Mus musculus: one gene and its partners. The protein of the gene in region 1 interacts with the protein of each later gene in a pairwise test. Links are inferred from orthologs where the notes say so. Each region holds a gene or a part of one and is shown in the gene's direction. Other genes may lie near its edges.

Region 1 (4,403 bases):
GTCGGGTTCTGGGTCTACAAAGCCCCTGCTGCCTGTGTTTGAGGTCTGGAAGGGAGATTTGAGGAAAGAGAGAGAGAGAGAGAGAGAGAGAGAGAGAGAGAGAGAGAGAGAGAGAGAGAGAGAGAGAGAGAGACTAAAAGTTAGAGTCTGTGACAGGGAACTCCCAAAGGGGACAGATCTTCTGGGAGTGGGTGGGGCCAGGAGCACAGTGTCTCCAAGCCCATCTGGTTTTTTACACTGTTTGTTAATAAACCCTGAAACTTCTGTGTGCCTGTCTCCTGTCTGATGCATTTTCCAGCTGCTCTCTCCAGACTCCCTCCTTCTGTCTGGCTCCTCCTCTCCGAAGAAGTTGACATTAATTGCTAGGGAAGTGTGTGTGTTGGGGGGGGGGGGGGGGCGCTGGGAAGAGGAGAAGCAGTGAGCTCACAGCGGCAGCCAGTCTTTGCCAGGCCTTCTGAGTCATGCTCCCCATTACCAAAGTTTTCCCCCTCACAGCTGCCTGGTGTGTGTGTGTGTGTGTGTGTGTGTGTGTGTGTGTGTGTACCCCCTCCAGACCGAAGCCTTGACCCCTCAGTCTCTCTACCCTCCATACCTTTGTTCTGGGAACTGGTAATAAGTTCAGACACTCTTTTCTCGAATCGGCACTGGGAGCTTCCCATCCAGATTTACCACAGTGGGTGACAAATGGACAGGAGTTTTTCAGTTTCTTTTCCTGATCTAGGAAGTCCCTCCTAGTATCTGGCTTCAGGCCCTCATGCTACTGCAGGATTCCCCAAAATCTGTCCACTCCCAGCTGCACTTACTTGCCTGGCTGGACAATAAGAGGAGGCAGAAGGGTGTGCCCTCAGCCCTGTCCCCCAGACACCCAGGCCTGCCCCTTCCCAGAGCTGCCATCCCCATAAGCATCTCTGAGCACGTGGCCCTCTGGAGCCTGGCTGGCCGCCTCCCTCCAGTGTGGGTGTTTGCACTTGAACACCTCCCTTCTGCCTGCCCCCCGCACCCCCCCCTCCAGCCTCAGCTGTGGCCAGCCCCCTCCCCCTCCTGTCCCCTGCTGCATCCCTGCAGCCTCTCTCCCTCCTGGCAGAGCCTTCAGCCCAGCCTGCTCCTAGCTGTCCAGGGCTCCTCAGCAGCTGCTTCCCTCCCTGGCTGCCTCCTCCTCCCCTCTCCTGCCCTCCTTCCCCTTTCACCCCATCCCCTGCCCCTGGACTCTGCGAACATGAGGGGCTTGGCCTGCCTCCTTGGTGAGTGATCCATTTCCTTGGGGGGGGGGGTAAGCACCTTAGGGGCCTGGACCCTTACCTCTGACCCAGTTAGCTTCTCCAGTTTAGGGGCTCATACTTGAGGGAGCCTGTTCTGGTCCCTGGTGCAGTGTGATATCCTGACATCTGGCTGGCCCCTCTAATCCCTGAGGGACCCAGCCTTCTGCACGTCCTGCCTAGCAGCTCAAGTGACCTGCCCTTTGTTGCCCTGTCATGTACTCTGTAGCGCTATCACTCCCACCATTCAATCTGGTCCCCAGTCCTGTTTTCAAGGGTCAGGCATCTGGGGCCCCACCCACCCCAGGGACCTGTAACTTATCCCAGCCTCCTCCCAAAGTCCATTCCAGCAGTGGGGTTTCTGACTCAGAGGTGTGAGGAATCTGACTGTGAATGGGTGCTTCCCACTGTACTGAGGCTGGGAGCCTGCACTGGGGAAAGGACCCCTCCCCTCTGATTTATCCTTCACTCTGTCCCCTCCAACCTCCTTTGCAGCAATGCTGGTGGGGATCCAGGCTATAGGTAAGTGTCCTGATTCTACACTTGGCCTCACCCCGCTCCAACTCCCCCCCTCTCCTTCTGGTCTCTGCTACCCCAATTCCACTCCCCAGACATTGCTGCCATCCAACAGGGACAATGAGTCTTCTCTAGAGTTAGCTGCACGCTGACCTATGGGAGAGGACCAAAGTTATGAGGCCAGTGATGGGGAGAGGAGTGGAAAGGTTATTTGACCCCCTTGTGGGGCAGAAGGACCGGGGATGCCTGAATTCCCTGGTTCACAGTGTCCTTCCACACAGCCCCCAGCATCTCTGAGACATTCCTCTCATTGCACCTGGGAGTCTGGGACCAGGGTCCAGCCTCCAGGGTAGCTGGCTTCCTGGTGGTAGCTTGTAAGGTAGTCCCCCTGCCTTGGTGTTACCGTAGACCCCCAGCCAACAGTACTCCTGTGTGGGGTCACAGCTTTTCCTTCATCCCTCAGAGCGACTCCGCCTGGCTGATGGTCCTCATGGCTGCGCAGGACGCCTGGAGGTCTGGCACAGCGGGCGCTGGGGCACCGTGTGTGATGACGGATGGGACCTTCGGGATGCTGAAGTGGCCTGCCGTGTGTTAGGCTGCGGAGGGGCGCTGGCAGCCCCTGGGGGTGCCTTCTTCGGGGAGGGCACTGGGCCTGTATGGCTCAGTGAACTGAACTGTCGGGGCAATGAGGGTCAGCTGGGTATCTGTCCCCACCGGGGCTGGAAGGCCCATATCTGCTCTCATGAGGAGGACGCAGGCGTCGTCTGTGTAGGTAAAAAGATTCAAATTCCTCTTATGGTTATGGCCCCAGGAACCCTGCCCTTAGTTCCTGCAGATCTGAGTTGTCTAGAAGCTAAGCGGTAACCAACTCCAGATCCCCATAAGACCAGGTGCTCCCCTCCCAAGGACTCCCAGCTTATGAGCACTTATTTCTGAGCCACAGGAAATTCAGGCATCCCAGCTCCTCCTGTCCCAGGGGTCAAATGACCTTTCTACTCCTCCCCCCATCACTGGTCTCATAACTTTGGTCCTCTCCCATAGGTCAGCGTGCAGCTAACTCTAGAGAAGATTCAATGTCCCTGCTGGATGGGGATCCATGGCTGGCACTGTCTGGGGAGCTAAGCCCCAGCTCAGAGGAGCCCCCTATAACTCACGGTGAGCACAAAGGACAGGCCTCCCATCCCGCACCCTGGTCAGACTCAGCTATGGGGGAAGGTTATCCTGCAAACGTTTTTCTCCGGCAAGCTAGTCTCCTTCATTATCCAGAAATCCTCTGTCCAGAAATCTTTCAAACCCTCAGAAAAGAATCCCGAGACAGATGCCAAGGAGTAGGGAAGAGTGACCAGCTGAGCTCCTGACTTCCTGGTCACGTGTCACTTTCCTAGCTCCCCAACCAGCAGCAAGCTCCCAGAATGGCCCCCGGAAGAAGAACCCCCGGCCACCCAAGCAGACCAAGTCCACCCGAGCCCCTGTACTGACAAATGGAGCTCCCCACCAAGGTAAGGCTCTACATTTCCCTGTCTTCCTGATCTGTGTGCTACGAGACCCTAGACCCTGCCAAACTGAGGACCCTAGACCTCCATTCAGCCTGTGACTCTCTAAGGAGACCGGCGTTCACAGTGCCCCTTCAGATCCAGTCAGGGCTGGCCACCTCCTCTTCTTTATCCTCCCTCTATGAGACCCAGGGGGGTGGCCGGTCTCTTTTCTGAATTAGGTACTTGGCAGACAAATCTCAGTCTTCTGCTCTTCCTGGGCCTCAGTTTCCCCAGTTGTAAACAAACAGGAAGCTGCCCCCTCCAAGCTGACATTAGACTAAGCCTTTTACAGTCTCTCATCTTCCCTGGTTGTATTCCTCTCCCCCCACCCCTCCCCAGAGCGGCTGCGACTGGTCTCAGGTCCCCACGGATGTGCCGGCCGCCTGGAAGTCTGGCACGGTGGACGTTGGGGCACTGTCTGTGATGATGGATGGGACCTCCGAGATGCAGCGGTGGCCTGCAGGGAGCTGGGATGTGGGGGAGCGCTGGCCGCCCCTGGGGGTGCCAGATTTGGACCTGGTGAGGGACCTGTGTGGATGGATGACGTGGGGTGTGGAGGAGGAGAGGAGGCCCTCCGAGACTGTCCCCGAAGCCCCTGGGGCCGGAGCAACTGTGACCACACCGAGGATGCAGGGCTGGTCTGCACCGGTATGTATGTATGTATGTATGTATGTATGTATGTATGTATGTATGTGTGTGTGTGTGTGTGTGTGTATATATATATATATATATATATATATATATATATATATATACATACATACATACATACATATATGTATGGGCAGCTACCCGCTCTTCAGATCTCAGCTCCTCCCTCCCCCAGGAAGCAGTAAAAGGCCTAGCCTCGGGTCTGTCTCTCTACACATTCTCTGGGAGAGGCTTAGCCTGCTGGGCCTCAGCTTTCTTGAGGGAGCAACTAGAAACTGGGACCAAGAGTAAGGGGCCATGGAAGGGCACTTGGGTATTTCCTCCTCCATTGCTCCTCTCCTTCTTCTCCCTCACTCCCTGTCCCTCTTGCCTTCCTCCAGCCTTCTATTCCCTGTCAGCGCCCATCCTGCTTCTTCAGTGGTCTAACCCAGTGTCTAATGTGACC
Region 2 (4,403 bases), on another chromosome or scaffold:
TTGTGAGCCACCATGTAGTTCCTGGGATTTGAACTCAGGATCTTCAGACGAGCAGTTGGTGCTCTTAACCACTGAGCCAGCTCCCAAGCCCGATATTACCTGCTTTCTATATGTAAGTGTTTGTCCTTCCTTGCCTGCCACAAAGGTGTTTCTCTGAGATTAGCCTGTTAAAAAGAAAGCTGCCTGGTGAAGGTCAAAAGCTGCCAAAGCCAAAAGACAACACAGAAATATGGACCGGGCGTTGTCCTGCTGCTGATTGGCTCAGACTAGGTGTTGTCCTGCTGCTGATTGGCTCAGACTAGGCGTTGTCCGTTGCTGATTGGCTCAGATTGGATGAGTAAGGCGTGTGGCCTTTGAGGACTAGAGTTGACTGTTGGAGTCGGGGCAGGAGGAGAGAGAGACAGAAGCAGAACTGAGCAGGACAGGGAGGTTGAGCAGAGAGAACGCCAGGGACTCGTAGCAGGGAAGTCGCGTTGAGTCTGGAGGGTTAGCTGAGGGACTGCCCCAGCAAACAGGCAAACAGCCTTATACTATACAGATGTCTCTGTGTCTCTGTTATTAAACCCACGTGGGATCCCACAAGTTCTGAAGTATCCATTGTAAGCCACTCTGTGTGGAATCCAGTCTCCAGACTTGAACCGTTAAGATATGATCTGCAAAAACAAATTTGTCTCCTCAGTCAGCGCTTTTATCCTAAATTAGGGTTTAGCTAACTGGAAAGATGGCTCAGCAGTTAAGAGCTCTTTCTTACTCTTCCAGGAAGCCTGAGTTAGGGTTAGGGTTCCCAGAACCCACATGACAGACAGCTCACTACTGTAATGTCAGCTCCAGAGGGATCAGATAACCTTCTGGTCTTCCAGGGCACCTGGCATGCAAGTGACGGCACAGACATACATACCCATGGGCGAAACATCTATCTATACACCATGTTAAAATCCACAAATAAATCATGAGCTGGTGAAATAGCTCAGCAGGTTAAGGCATTTGCCACAAAACCTGGCACCCGAATTCAATCCCTCTGGGTCCTACACATGGGAGGGAGAGAACTGTAAACCCTATATACCACTCCGTGCCAGCCTCCACCTCCTGCCTTCCGCCACCGCCCTGCTTTTTCTTGGGTGAGCTGGGTTTGGCAGAGCACACCTTTCTTTAATCCAGCCCACGGTAGGCAGAAGTCAGCCTGGTCTACATAACCTATTCCAGAGCAGCCAAAACGATCTAAAAAAAATTCAGGTATAATGTTGGTTTGCTTGATTTTTGGTTTGGAGACCAAGTCTGACTCTGTAGCCTAGGCTAGCCTGGAATTTACTATGTGATCCAAACTGGCTTCGAACTCGTGAATGGCCTCCTGCTTCAGTCTCCCAGCAAGGGGCTGTCTTTCAAAGGAGCGAGCAAACCAGCCTCTGGCTACGAGGAAAGACCCACGTATGCCTCAGGTGAGCGGCTCTTCCAGCCACATTCAAGATGGCGTCGACCCGCAGCCCGCTCGCGAGCTCCGGCAGGAACACACTTCCGCCTGCCACTCCCAACATGGCGCCCCCGAAAGCGTCCGGGGGCGGGGCCGAGGGAGGAAGTGGGCGTGACAGGGACGGAAGCCGAGCAGGGTTTGGAGCTAAAACAGCGGGGAGTGGGGACAGCGCTGTCCGCTGCTATGATTCCCCCGCAGGAGGCTTCCGCCCGGCGGCGGGAGATCGAGGACAAACTGAAGCAGGTGACGCTGGGGAGAAAGTGAAGGAAAGGCGCTCAGGGGCATCGAACCGGGGTGGAAGGGGAGATAGGGTTAGGCGTAGGCCGTGGTGCTGGGTGCTGGGTGCTGGTGGTCGCCTTTCACCATCGGCTTGTGGTGATGTCCTCCTCTCTGCCCCTCGCAGGAGGAGGAGACGCTGTCGTTTATCCGAGACAGCCTGGAGAAGAGCGACCAGCTCACTAGGAACATGGTGAGTAGCCTTTCAGCTGGGAGGCTGCCGCCAGGCTCCTGAGCCCCAGAGGAGGGGCGTGTGATGGACGTGTCCTGCGCCTGTCCAGGGACTCCAGCGTGGGTAGTAAACAGTGGGCATATCTTGCAGCGATGGGTATCTCTGCACCCCAGTTTCCACCCCATCACCGAGGAAACCGCTGCCCTATACCTGTTACTGTCTGTCCTTCTGCAAACATTTCGTGATATCCTGTACATGGCCTGGTACTGGCCCCGTGTCATTGTCAAATTCAAGCGAGGCGAGGCAGCGAAGTCACAGGGGCTTTGGAAGCAAAACCATCTCAGAGAGTTAATGCGTCTTAGATCTACCCAATGTCCTACAGCTTACTATGTGGTTCCTGGTGGTAGGCCTTGAGTTATGGTTAATTTACCTGGTAAAGCAGACAATGTCAGCCTCCCAGTGTGTCCGTGGAGGAAGTCTATGCATGCTTCCCAGTGTCTGGTATACAGTAAGATGCTTTAAAAGTGCTTGCATTTGTATTTACACAGTAATAAAATACTTGTTGAATGAGATTTGCCCTTAGGGAAAGAGGTTGGCTGTTTGTTTGAGGTAACAGTAATATATTTGCAACTATTTTGGAGGAAGCTACTTTCTGTTCAGTCTAGGAAAACTTCAGAGAGAACAGAAATTGAGATTTGACTTTCAAGGGTAGAAAGGAATCTATCCTGAGGTGATTGAAAAAAAAAATTTATTATGTATAGTGTTCTGGTTGTATGTATGGCCATATGCCAGAAGAGGGCACTAGATCTCATTATAGATGGTTGTGGTTGAGCCGCTATGTGGTGCTGGGAATTGAACTCAGGACTTCCGAAGAGCAGCCAGTGTTCTTAACTGCTGAGCTGGCTCTCCAGCCTGATTATCTCTTTTTGCAAATAAGCAAATTTATTTTATGTGCATGAGTGTTTGCATGTGTGTATGTGTCCCACAAATGAGCAGTGCCTGCAGAGGTCAGAAGAGGCTGTCATATCCTGTGGAATTGGAGTTACAGGCAGTCAGTTGTAAGCTGGCAGATGTGCGTGCTGAGAACTCAGTACCAGTCCTCTGCAAGAGCAGAGTCATCTCTCCAGCTCCTTGAAGGAAGAATTCGCTTAATGTTCCTCTTGCCGTCAGATGAACTTTCAACCAGTTTATGGTGAGCCGTGTACCAGACTAGGAGTGCAGTTGTAGCAAACAAGTCGACTATGTTCCTTCCTATGGGTAGCAGTGTATCGTCTAGAAAACCAAGAAAAGACAAGAAATGTCTGTGAGTATTTCCAGGACAGCCCTGGGAGCCATGAGCCAGAGGAGTTCCCCCCCACAGGTGTCCATCCTGTCGTCCTTTGAGAGCCGACTCATGAAGCTGGAGAACTCTATCATCCCTGTGCACAAGCAGACAGAGAACCTACAGAGGCTGCAGGAGAACGTGGAGAAGACGTTATCCTGCCTGGACCACGTTATCAGCTACTACCACGTAGCCAGCGACACGGAGAAGATCATCCGAGAGGGGTGAGTTCCATGCAGAGCTCTGCTCACATAACTAATGTCTCCTGGACCCATGGAGCCAAGTAAAACCCATGTGAGCGTGGAGCCCCTTATCTGCGTTCTCTTCTTCTCCCGCAGACCGTGGCCATAGTCTGTCTATGTTATCCCTGCCCTCCAAGGCTAAGCCAGCTTTTCTCTTTCCCAGCCCCACAGGTAGGCTGGAAGAGTACCTGGGAAGTATGGCCAAAATCCAGAAGGCTGTGGAGTATTTTCAGGACAATAGCCCAGACAGCCCAGAACTCAACAAAGTGGTAAGAAACGTATAGGTTAGCGTGAGACGACGGACAGATGGACATCAGTCCCTGTCTCGGTCTCATGAGGGACATGTGACAGTTTAAGGAAGTCTGTAGAAGCCAGGTGTGGTGGCCCAGGCCTAGAACTTGTGAGTTTGAAGCCAGCCTGGGATATGTGGTATTCCAGACTAGCCTGGGTTATGTAGTGACACCATGTCTCAAATGTTAAGCAAACGGATAAAAGAGGAAGATACATAGCAGTCACAATGTACGTGTTAGGTCCTGTGCCTGGGGACTGAGTGATATAATTTTCCATCATACTATTTCAAGTGTAAGTTTAGCATTTGATTTCTATATATGGATTGGAGGTTTCTTCACTATGGTAAAAAATACGTCCTGTACCTAGCTAGGCATGGGGACTCACGCCTGTAATTCTAGGACTTAGGAGGTGAGGCAGGAGGATTGCAGCAAGTCCAGATTGGCCTACATAGTGAGTTCCAGGATGGCCAGAGCTACATAGCAAAACCTGTCTCAAAGCTGTAAAGCAAAACAAACACATAAATTGTATAAAATCAACCATCTCAGCCAGGCGTGATGGCAGGCAAGACCTGCACTCTTGATACTTGAGAGGCAGAGGCAGGAGGATGGCTGCAAATGCGAGGCCAAGCTGAGC
Region 3 (4,403 bases), about 120 Mb from region 1:
CCTTGTCTTGAAAAAACAGACAAAAAACAAGAAGAAGAAGAAGAAGGAGGAGGAGGAGGAGGAGGAGGAGGAGGAGGAGGAGGAGGAGGAGGAGGAGGAGGAGGAGGAGGAGGTGGTGGTCACTCAGTCACTCAGGGCATGCCCTTAAAAGGTATATCTCATTCTGGGCCCTCTTCTGTCCCTTTTCTCATCTTAATTGTTATTTTAGTTTTTTTTCCCCTTCCTGTTATGGTTTAAAATAAAAAAAAATCATATGTTGAAGTTAATTATGCAAAGTGATGGTTTTGGAATTTAGGCCTTTCTCTCTCTCTCTCTCTCTTCTCTCTCTCTCTCTCTTTTTATTCGAGACAGGGTTTCTCTGAATAACCCTGGCTGTCCTGGAACTCACTTTGTAGACCATGCTGGCCTTGATCTCAGAAATCCGCCTGCCTCTGCCTTCCAAGTGCTGGAATTAAAGGTGTGCAACACCACAGCAGGGCTGGTCCTCTGGGATCCCTGCACTCATAAAGAGGTTTGAAGCCCTAGTTCTCAAGTTTCAACTTTAGTTTTTCTTCCTCAGGGAAGCTTTTTCTTCCTTAAGTTTTTCGCTAATGATCTGATGGAGAGAGATACATGCTCGCTCTTCCTAGAATGTTTAGATCTCTGTCCCCAGATGATGTCAGTGTTCCAGGAAACACACTTAAGGAAAGCCTGCCATTTATATTATTTTGTGTTTAGTTGATTGTTTTGCCAGATTGTAAACCCAAAAAGGAAGGATTTCAGGTCTGTTTCATATATCACTCTCTGGTATATGGTTCTCAGCCTTGCTTCTTTATGATAAAGAGAATTTTCTTGACCAACTTCTAGTCTAGCATGGCTTTTAGCAGTTTGAGGCCATGTTATCTATGACTCACCAGAAGTTTCCCCATTACTAAGCTCTGTACTTCTTGGCCCCGTTGAAATGCTTGTCGAGGTAAACTCAACACTGCCAGAATTTAATGTTTTTATTCCAGCCAAAACCTGGTAGTAGGCAGATAGGTCCCCAAACCCTAAATTACAGCAGTAACTCTAGAATGTTGCAATTATACATCTTTTCTCTGCCCCTTTGAAACATAAATCGTCTACCACTTGGAACTGCCTTACCAAAGGCACTTTTTGTTGATGCACACATTCAAGGAGATAGTAGCCTGGAGTGGTGGCACACTCCTTTTAAGCTCTTGGGAAGAAGAGGCAGACAGACCTCTTGAGAATTCCAGGCAACATCATGAAAACGTAACTGAAAAAAAAAAAGGAACCCAGCCGATAATAATTCTTACTTCCAATTCTTATGACCGCCTGTCATAAAGATATAAGAATTGCAGTGTGTGGTGGTATTAATCTCAGAAATGGAAGAGCTGAGGCAGGAGGATAAAAAGTCAGTCTGGGCAGCATAGAGAGATCCTGCCTCGCAAGCAAGCAAATAAACCAACCAACCAAAAACAGATACTCCATGAGAAACTCAGGGCGTCCAGGACATCTCAGAATCTGCGACTTCGAGCGTCAATTAACGCTAGGATTCATCGGCCACACCTCTCTATTCTATGCTGTGATTCCAGAGGCTGACCCAGTCTCGCGAGACCGAGGCTGTCACGTGATAGGCTTGGGTCTGAAGCCGATTCCACCTTATTGATTTTGGGCGGCGTCAAATTCCGGAAGAAAACCGATCCCGGAGTCGCTGGCCTGTGGCACCTGTGCGCAAGTGCGGAAGTGCGGTGGCATCCTCGCTAACCGGTTTCCGGTCTGTGTGCAGCACCGGGCTCGCAGAGCCACGTAACGGCCGGGGGTCTGCAGCCATGGCGGATAGGAAGGCTAACGGCGGCGGAGCGTCCGCCTCCTCGTCAGGCACTAACTTACTCTTCTCCTCCTCGGCCACGGAGTTCAGCTTCAACGTGCCCTTCATCCCCGTCACGCAGGCCGCCGCCTCCCCGGCTTCCCTGCTCTTACCCGGAGGTAGTGAGCCGAGGGCGCTTGGGGGCCAGTGTCTGTCCCGGGAGGCGGGTGGGACAGGAGTGTCGCCTGCTCTGAGTCGCTTGCCAGGGTCAGCAGTGACCAGCTTTCAGAGGGCCAGGGACTGGAGGATCCTGGAGGAGGGGCTCCGGTGATGAGGCTTGGAACTCCTGTCATTGCGCAACTGTTTGTTGAACACCCACTGGTGTGCTGGTGCTGGCAGAAAACGCAGCTAAATTAGACAGTTACCCTTTGCTAGAATCCGAAAGCTGCTCTCTTACTGGGAAACACCGGTGATAGGGTAGGACATCACCTAGGAGACAGTAAGTTTCTCCAGAGGAGACAATGCCTCTCTTGTAGAGGACTATACACTCTCTCCTAGTAAAAGCCCCCCCGTTACACTTTTGATTAAGCTCTGTGTATATCTGGGAAGGCTGATTTCTCTCTCTCTCTCTCTCTCTCTCTCTCTCTCTCTCTCTCTCTCTCTCTCTCGTTTGTCTCTGTCTCTCTTTCTCGTCTGTCTCTCTCTGGTGGTTTGGAGCACAGACTGTGTTCAGACCCGGCACTGCCATTAACTTGCTGTGTGGCCTCAGTCATGACATTTTACCTGTCTGCTTAGATTTCATGTTTTCAGCTCCTATCCCTGGGTTTGAGAGCAAGGTCTCTCTGTGTAGTACTGACTGTCCTAGAACTCACTGTGTAGATCAGGCTGGCCTCAAACTTAAAGGATCCACCTGCCTCTGCCTCTCTGCCTCTGAGTGCTGGGATTAAAGGCATTCGTCACTATACCCTGTCTCATTTTTGTAGAGTTCTATATCTAGTGTCCCACACGTATTGTTGTGTAAATACTTGTGAGCTAAGTACTCTGCCCCTCCATGTGGACTGTGAACTTCTTACCTCTTTTCATTTTCAGGGTCCTGTTTTTTAGTGCCTAGCACACAGGTGCTTGTTAGGTGCTGAGCTTTCCCCACCAAATAATTCCTCCTTGGAGGACTAAGGGGAGTTTCCCGCAGAAGGGAAGAAAGACAACTGAAAGCATGTGTATCTGCAGTGTCTCCTTTCTGTCATGTTTCTTCTCGGTGCTCGTAACTGTCTGACAGGTACATATGCCCGCTTACCCTACCAGGCCAGGGTGTAAGCTTTGTCAAAGCAGGGGCTGGCCCGATGCCTGGAATGCAGACTACAGAATTTCTAGTGGGAGTTTGCTGAGCGACTGGGGGGATGGATCCACGAGTGCCCCTGCCTCATGGAAGCGGTGTGACTGAAAGGTTCAGTGATGCTTTCTTTGGTGAAGAATTGTGGCTGGACCAGAGTACTGTGGAAGGGTCCAGGAATCAGTAAGGTCGTGCCTTGGGTTTTTCAGATTGTTCTCGGCCTCCAGAGTGGTGTTTGATGCACGCTCGTTTTCCTTGATGTATGATATTTAATTTGTGTGTTATTGTCGGTGCTTGACATTTCTATTCTCTTCTTCATTTTCTTGTTAATTTTCTGTTCATTACTGTTTTTCTGCCTGTGTGTCTATGTGGGGGTGTGGGACCCCCTGGAACTGGAAGTTACAGACAGTTGTGAGCCGCCATGTGGGTGCTGGGAATTGAATCCAGGTCCTCTGGAAGAGCAGCCAGTGGTCTTAACCATTGAGCCATCTCTCCAGCTCAACATTTCTGTTTTCAGCTTTAAGATAAGTATATCAGTCTTTAAGGTTTATTCATTTATTAATTACTTTTTGAGACATGGTGTCATTTTGTAGCCCAGGGTAACCCAGAACTTGTGGCAGACCTCTTGTCTTAGTCCCCAGGTGCTGAGACTACAGGCATAAGCCACCACTCCCAGCTTTATATTTTAAAAGCTTCTTAAAAGTTTATTTTTACTATTTTAAAAAATGTGTACTTGGGTATGTCTATCTTTGTGTCCATATACATGAATGTAGTTGCTCTCAGAGGCCAGAGACTTTGACCGTGCCTGGAGCTGGAGTTACAGGTGGGTGTGAGCACCTGAGTCCAGTGCTGGGAGACAAATTAGGGCCATCTTTAAGAGCCATGCTCTGTAAGAGCAGCACAAGCTCGCAATGACTGAGATAACTCTCCAACCCCATCTTGAAAACTCTTTGTTTCTTAGATTTAAACTTATTTTTTGTGAGAGCACAAAAGGTTTTAGAACTACCATTCTGTAACAAGCCTGTCTGTCTGTCTGTCTGTCTTCCTTCCTTCCTTCCTTCCTTTCTTCCTTTCTTCCTTTCTTATCAGGATCTCTCTGTTATGTAGTAGCTCTGGCTGTCCTGGAACTCTTTGTGTAAACCAGGCTGATCTTGAACTTAGAGTGATCCACCTTCCTCTGCCTCCTGAGTGTATAACAAGCATTCTCTACACTTAAAGATGGCTTGATTAGAGATCTCTTGAGAGCATTTCTGGAGCCAGAGGAGACTCCATCTCCTTGAAAGC

Evidence for each region.
Region 2: the proteins of Ssc5d (region 1) and Exoc7 interact in binary tests that used the Homo sapiens proteins (3 or more experiments, as listed by UniProt). The two-hybrid records come from large-scale screens. The link is inferred for Mus musculus from reciprocal best matches to the Homo sapiens genes SSC5D and EXOC7.
Region 3: the proteins of Ssc5d (region 1) and Sec23ip interact in binary tests that used the Homo sapiens proteins (3 or more experiments, as listed by UniProt). The two-hybrid records come from large-scale screens. The link is inferred for Mus musculus from reciprocal best matches to the Homo sapiens genes SSC5D and SEC23IP.

The regions. Positions count from the first base shown.
Region 1 is NC_000073.6:4,924,739-4,929,141, forward strand, and holds the start of Ssc5d (soluble scavenger receptor cysteine-rich domain-containing protein SSC5D precursor), read left to right. Parts: upstream 1-1,216; coding exon 1,217-1,241; intron 1,242-1,751; coding exon 1,752-1,778; intron 1,779-2,235; coding exon 2,236-2,544; intron 2,545-2,813; coding exon 2,814-2,927; intron 2,928-3,157; coding exon 3,158-3,271; intron 3,272-3,646; coding exon 3,647-3,955; intron 3,956-4,403.
Region 2 is NC_000077.6:116,303,922-116,308,324, reverse strand, and holds the start of Exoc7 (exocyst complex component 7), read left to right. Parts: upstream 1-1,590; 5' UTR 1,591-1,651; coding exon 1,652-1,711; intron 1,712-1,871; coding exon 1,872-1,937; intron 1,938-3,276; coding exon 3,277-3,461; intron 3,462-3,642; coding exon 3,643-3,748; intron 3,749-4,403. UniProt on the Homo sapiens protein: Component of the exocyst complex involved in the docking of exocytic vesicles with fusion sites on the plasma membrane.
Region 3 is NC_000073.6:128,743,211-128,747,613, forward strand, and holds the start of Sec23ip (SEC23-interacting protein), read left to right. Parts: upstream 1-1,659; 5' UTR 1,660-1,811; coding exon 1,812-1,968; intron 1,969-4,403. UniProt on the Homo sapiens protein: Plays a role in the organization of endoplasmic reticulum exit sites. Specifically binds to phosphatidylinositol 3-phosphate (PI(3)P), phosphatidylinositol 4-phosphate (PI(4)P) and phosphatidylinositol 5-phosphate (PI(5)P).